2 linked regions of the Schizosaccharomyces pombe genome follow. Changing the gene in region 2 together with the main gene of any one other region gives a genetic interaction. Each region holds a gene or a part of one and is shown on either strand. Other genes may lie near its edges.

Region 1 (3,759 bases), on a different chromosome or scaffold from region 2:
GCAATGAAGGCATAGTTGCTTAGTTTTGCAGTGTATCAGATTTTTTGTTTTGGTTTAATGTTATCTCTTGGAAACTAATGATGGTCATTTAACGAAAACAATGCTGCATAATTGGGAGTTCTCATATTGAATATCAATTCATGATTATGCTCTTTTAAGTTGATTTTGAATGTGGAAGTTTTGTAACTATATCGTAATAATTTCTGTGCTTCTATTAAATTACGTTTCTGCAACTGCAAATGGAATATTTGAAAACTTATTCTAATATTCCTATATTGCTACTTCATCATGAAGTTGTTGCTATAAAAATTACTCTAGTTTGAGGGAGGGAACCCAAATCGTGGTTTCTTCCTATAGAATGAGTGTACAATTACAATAGTGATGTACTAAACGTAATTTCCTACAAAAAAATGAGTAAGTTCTCTTCTTTTACTTTGTTATTTTATTACCCGTTACAAAGATATTAGGGTTGATTCTATTTCAATTCCTGTCCGAACTGAAGGTAATGGATATCGAAAATCACTAAATGAAAAAAAGGAGAATATAGATACTTAAATTTCATAGCGAAAATAATATATTTCTACCTCAAAAAAAAAACATGTACTAAAAATTCTCCCCACACCACTTTCAAACATAATCAACGTTTCTAAAAAGACAAGGCGTCACTGTTTACTTCTGTTCAATGACCTCAACCCAGTAATTATCAGGGTCCAGTAAGAAAGCAATATCCTTCATTCTGCCATCGGTCAATTTCTTCTTGAATGGTAGCCCCTCAGCTTCAAATTTAGAGCAAGCTGCATTAATATTGTCAACGGAAATACAAACATGACCATAACCCTTTTCATCGCCGTCATTGCCATTATGGTAAACGGGTCCTGACTCCTTTTCAGTACCCCAGTTATGAGTCAATTCAAGTAATCCCTCACGATCATGTCTGGGCAAGTCGCTAGGATAGGCCAAGAAATAATTGGTGAACTTACCATTGGGATGATCCGCTTTGTCAATTACCTTCATTCCAAGTTTCTCATAAAAGGCGATACTAGGTTCGGGATCCTTAACACGGACCATTGTATGATTAAAACGAAAGTTAGAAATATTAGCTTTGGGCTTAGTTTCAGATTGAGAAACAAGCTCAATCCAGTAATTGTCAGGATCCAAGGCAAAAGCGATGTGTTTCATCTTACCATCGGAAAGCTTTTTCTTAAAAGAAACCCCCTTGGATTCCAAATATGCGCAAGCAGATTCAATGTTATCAACAGTAAAGCAGATGTGTCCAAATCCTCTCTTAGGCTCGGTATTACCATTGATATAAACAGGGCCTTCCTTCTTCTCAGTGCCAAAGTTATAAGTCAGTTCCAATATACCTTCACGCTTACTACGTTCCACTCCGTGATTTAGAGCTCCAGGTCCATCGAAAGCTAAAAACGACAAAGAGAATTCATTTTCCTCGAAAACCCATTGATCAATGAGTTTCATACCAAACACCTCGGTATAAAATTTGAGACTCTTGTCGAGGTCTTTCACACGAATCATAGTGTGATTTAGTTTGTAAGTACTCATGTCAGTAGTAGAAGCCATATTCGTAAAGAAGATACCCGTTAAGTTGTAAATTTATATATATAAACTTATAGCAACGTTGTTGACGAGGATGAATCAAAAAACTGAATATAAACAGCAAAAAGATTGATGTGTATTGAAGCAGAAACACAAAGAAATTTCAAGTTTAAAAAATTACCGAAGTAAGTTTATATCAATGATGTGGAAGATGCTAACCAGTAGATTTCTAAAGAATTGATGTCATGTACGAGTCCATTGGCTTTCGTTATAGAACTTATAGATTTATATCACAATATCGTTATTAAGATTTACGTGCTAATGGGGTATGTGATAATAATGAATCTTCAAATTGCTAAGTATATAGCTTTCATTGTAAATAAAGAAGAAATTAGTATACAAAGAGAATATCAGCGTTCTGATTAGTCAATTTTACATTAAAATATTATGAAGAGAAATAATTTAATTAAAAAGAGAGAAACAAACCTATCTGTAGCTAAACAATCGTTTGTAATCCAATCTGTTATCATAATTAAGTCTCAAAGTGTGCTCTCTCTGATGCTAGTGTAAAGAAGGATACACAACTTCCTCAAAGCAAAAAATAAAATAAAATAAAATATTTAGCGAATCCGTTTAAATATGATAGTGGTGGAACCTGAAGAACAATATGACTCATCACCATCATGGAACTCAAAAGTATATAACATAAACTTGTAAATAAAATCTAAATGTAAACAAAAATCTGATATGACTTATCTACCAATATGTAGAAAATCAGAATCCCCTTAGGATATAATTTATGAACGATCAACAGAGGTATGTAAATAAAACTGTTTGATCCTCAGCGAGCACCAGAATCCAGCAAAAGCTATAATTGCAACTAAGGCAAAAGTCCATGTGAAAGCAGTGGCATACGACTTTATGACTAGCTTTTGGATATCTTTGGGGAGATTTGGAATGATGCTTATACTTTCTCGAAGACGTCGAATCAAATCATCTTTATCCGGATCGTCCTTTAAGTTGGAGGCTAACTGCTTCATAAGGATTGAAAGAGTTGTTGTTTGGGAAAGACTGATACCAATGACGCTACCTGTTGCACGGAAAAGATAGGAAAGGCCTGTAGCAACAGCTTGTTCTTCTGGGGCTAAAGAACTGATAATAGCAATAAGGGTAGAAGTTAGGTTCATTCCATAAGAACATCCGGTCATTGCCAAACAGAGAGAAATTAATATTAAGGGTGTTCTGTGACCGAAAGAAGTAAGAACAGCAAAGGAAACAATACCCATCAACATGAAAAAAAATCCAGCAATAACCAAATTTCTATACCTGCCAGTTTTCTTCATGTATAAGCCTGAACAAAGAGATCCAACAGATGTGGAGATAACGTAAGGAAAGATACGAACACCGGCCTCAGACGATGGCATTAATAGCGTCGTTTCGAAAAATAAGGGTAATTCGTAGACAATGACAAAACTGCAAAACGCATTGAAAAAGTTACCCAAACAGACATTCAAGGGAGTAGGCTGAGATAGGATCTCCACAGGCGCAATTGGTTCAACAGCAATATTCTTTTCGACCCAGTAAAATGCGAACAAAATAAGGACAGAAGATACAAGCAAAGTAATGATAACTGGAGAAACCCAAGGAAATGCGTCCCCGCCCATGTTAAAGGTAACTACCAGTGCCGTAATGCCCGTTACAAGAAGAAAACTGCCTAAGTAATCAATGCGTGAAAGCAACGATGCATTGGAATTTCGAACGGTAGGTTTAACGCGGACACGCCAAGCAACTAGTATGGTGGATAATATTCCCATAGGGACTTGAAAATGAAACGCTGTTCTCCAACCCCATCTTTGAGCAATTAACCCACCCAATGGTCCTCCCAAACTACCTCCGATACCCCAAACAATGTTAGTTATACCTTGCCAGGTACCACGTTCACGCAATGAAACGATGTCACTCGAAATGATGGAAGACATGGTACCAAGACCTCCACCGCCAATGCCGGCGAGAGCGCGAGCCATACACAATTCCGGAAGACTTCTCGATATACCACACCAAAAAGTTCCAAGCGTGAAAGCAGCATTTGCAAATACAACGGTAGGGCGTCGTCCAAAGATGTCACTAAGTCTACCATATAAAGGTTGGAAAGCGGTGTTTGTAATTAAATAGGCGGTAACAATGTAGGAAGCATTATTCATTAAC
Region 2 (3,557 bases):
TCCCAAGGCATTTACCAACTGGTGATGCACCTCCAATGTTTATTACAAATATCCCTCTTTGCGCATCTGGCGTTTTTACTGGTACTTTTGTAGTCTCCATGCGTCCATACCCTGAAAAGGACCTTGAAAGAATCAGAAAAATTACTTCTGCTTATACGAACTGCCATGGAGAACCTGTTGCATGGGGTTGGGATGGTGCTAAGAAAATTGGAGTCAAAGACTGTGGAAAACCTGACTTTGGCGTGCCTGTCGAATTCAAAGAAGGTGAAATCCCTATTTTCTGGGGCTGTGGTGTTACTCCACAAAACGTAGTAATGATGAGTAAACTACCTGAGCCCGTTTACTCTCATAAACCTGGCTACATGTATTTGACTGATTTAACCCATAATTGTTAATAGAATATACCAGCTCTTTCTTTTTGTCATTTACGAGCGCTAACTGTTACATTAAGCGATCATTTGCAGCAGCAGCAAATTATATAGTTACCAATGAATATTTATCTACCATAATTGAGACGGCATTCAATCTCAACAATACTTGGTCATGAATAATCGCAAAAGTTGTAGTACTAAATTTATAATATTTATAAAACAGTATCGCAAATTAGCAATGCTTCACTTGAGCATAAGCATCACTTTTAATGAACAGCAGATCTGCGAAAAAATTATCTTCCAATGTTTTTCTTTTTATTTATTTCGTATAACTCATAACAACAAACAACATAATTTTTATAATGCGCTAACGGCGGCTTCAGCAGTCGATTTTGCGCTCTGCGGATTTACCCCTGTTACAATTTTTCCATCGATCTGAGTAAAGTTGACATTGGGGTTTGGTGGATCAATGAAAGTTGCCCCTGCTTCAGCAAATATTTCATTTAAGGATTTCATCCCTCGTTTTTTCAATTCATCCATAACACCCATTTTTTCCTCTCCAGCCTTATTAAAAGCTGTAACATGCTTATGATACACGACTGTTTTGCCTTCAACTGATTGTGGATTCTTTACATTGGCAAGCAAAACAGGGCCATGACAGACTGCCGATAAAACACCACCATTTGTAAACACTTCTCTTGCTACCGCCTGTAAATTCGTGGCTTTGGGTAAGTCAAACATCGCAGCATGCCCACCTGCCACAAATAAAAGCTGATAGTCTTTTCCAACTATGTCCGAAGCCTTTTTCATATTGTTAAGATTAGTCCAAAAATCGTCGTTTTTATCATTAAATACTTTTCTTTCAAAGTCCCCTAATTTTGACTCCTCAATGGAATGATCGTCAAATTTGTAAGAGCCATTTTCTGAAACGAATTGCACGTTAAAACCTGCTTTTTTGAAAACATTGTAAGGGATTAAAAGCTCTGAAAAATGGACTCCAGTGTTTTTACCATCTGGATAAAATGGGCCATAATAACTGCTGGCAACAAGCAATGCATTTTTTCCTTTTGCAATAGACATTAGGGAAAGATAGTCTGTAGAAATAGATGAAAGCCAAGCAAACAAACAAATAATAGAATAAAAATGATCGATATTATTGATATAAAATCAATTCAACGTTTCGTAGATGTAAAGATATATATATATATATACACTATTCAATCTTTAAATCAACACAAAAAATCATGCTCCTACCATATTACAAAATATGAAGTCATGAAATTCGAAGCTGTTCTAGGGTCGATTGTTGTTGCATTCAATAGATGTCATTCTATATCATATAGCAATTTCTACTATGTAAAGATTCCTGCTGTACGGAAGAACCTTAAGTACTTTTCTAGATGACAACAAGGACTAATGAGGTTTTTACACACTTGTGTAACAAAAAACGAGGCTTTAAATATATTGTATAAAAAACTACTTTCTAATCGGTTAAAACCATGACTAGACCCTTGATAGACTATGTAACGTCACTAGGAGGCTAATAAATTTGACAGTGTTTTGTTTGCGTTTGTAGCTAGTTCATTAACTCTATTATAAGGATTTCGGGTAAAACATTCCTTTACTGAAAATGACTTAGCAAAAGATATGTAGTTTTAAATATCCATAATTGAAATCAATTCATGACTATTGTATACCATTTGCCTGATGGTGTTCAATGATCCAACACTTAAAACAGGCTCTGCTGGTAGACAATATAAAATACATTTTAAGTATTTATAGAGCTATTTACTGATCCAAATGTCTACGGCCATACCTAGGCGAAAACACCAGTTCCCGTCCGATCACTGCAGTTAAGCGTCTGAGGGCCTCGTTAGTACTATGGTTGGAGACAACATGGGAATCCGGGGTGCTGTAGGCTCCTTCTTTTTTGATTTTATATCATTTTTTTGTGAACTGGTTGTTTAATTAGCAAAACTTCAATAGAAGCATTGTTCTAAAGTTGTTGAAGCAGTAAATTATTACGCAAACCTAATGAATAAAGCTAGGAAAGGTGACCCCGTCTTTGAGGTTTACATCAGGTTAACAGACAGACGAGATTTCTCGGGTTTTCGTTTCTACGTTGCTGAGAATACAGAAAAAGATCTAGTAGTGTCTAATAGTAAATTACAAAAAGGTTCAATACAGATAAGAAATTTGTTTCCTTGCAAACATTGGATTATCAATATAATTAGAAGGAATTGATGAACGTTTTAACTGCGTTTTGCTGAAGCTCATTTAACCTTTTTTTTCATGAAACGGCCAAGCTTGTTAGTATGCTCTCACGCACAGAACGCATTTACAAGTATTTTAATCATCCTGCATTTAACGGCATGTCAAAACAGAAAATGCTAAAGAACGATACCTTCTCGTTCGGTAAATAATGTTTCTGTAAAGAAGTAATAATAGAAGTGCGTAAGTGTTTACCTAATTTACCGACTTTGACCATGTGTACTACCTACTACTAGTATTGCGCTATCAGATCTAAACTAGAGCTCCACTCGGCTTGTCCATGAACCCGGCAAAATTTACATTATTTTTTAGCCGTTGATGTTTATAATCCTTTTCTAGTAAATGGCTAACTATCAATTTGATATTTTTATTAGATATTCTTTACATCATTTTGCACTAGCAGCCCAGAGGATATCGATAATAAAGATGTATTACTATACTATATTATGCTTATGCGATATCGCAATACTGAGGCTTTGAGTTTTGGATGAAACTGGCATAATGCAGGTGATTGGTATATATATTGATATTATATAAAATATGTACCAAATTTACATATGCATATATTGATGTGTACGTTGTAGCAAAATGCGCCGAAGGTTTCATCTCCATTTGCTATATTCCATCTAAACTTGCCTAGTATTTTACTTGGCTTTAAGAGTGAAATTTGACTTTTTGAGTTGTTTTGTTTTTGGCTTTTTTTTCATTGCCTGCGGAAAGGACACGTTTTACTATTCTAATTAAGACACAACTTTTTAAATGTCCATTTGAATTAAGCGTTAAGATTATTTATTTAAAATTCAAATATGTTGATTTTCCCAGGTTCATACTTCTACATATTTTTATGGCAGCGTCTATAGAAAAAAATGCATTAACTCTACTAACCAATATCACTAGCGTGAGCATGCACTTCTA

Evidence for each region.
Region 1: of hsp3102 (region 2) and glo1, extra expression of one rescues a mutant of the other (dosage rescue), as found in Schizosaccharomyces pombe (one study listed by BioGRID).

Annotation. Positions count from the first base shown.
Region 1 is NC_003423.3:2,444,517-2,448,275, reverse strand, and holds glo1 (glyoxalase I glo1), read right to left. Parts: upstream 1,720-3,759; 5' UTR 1,579-1,719; coding exon 670-1,578; 3' UTR 419-669; downstream 1-418. Other genes in the region: vacuolar amino acid transmembrane transporter Fnx1, read right to left, coding at 2,352-3,759. UniProt on the Schizosaccharomyces pombe protein: Catalyzes the conversion of hemimercaptal, formed from methylglyoxal and glutathione, to S-lactoylglutathione.
Region 2 is NC_003424.3:147,485-151,041, forward strand, and holds hsp3102 (glyoxylase III Hsp3102), read right to left. Parts: upstream 1,452-3,557; coding exon 729-1,451; 3' UTR 554-728; downstream 1-553. Other genes in the region: dgc1 (D-glutamate cyclase ), read left to right, coding at 1-395. UniProt on the Schizosaccharomyces pombe protein: Catalyzes the conversion of methylglyoxal (MG) to D-lactate in a single glutathione (GSH)-independent step. May play a role in detoxifying endogenously produced glyoxals. Involved in protection against reactive oxygen species (ROS).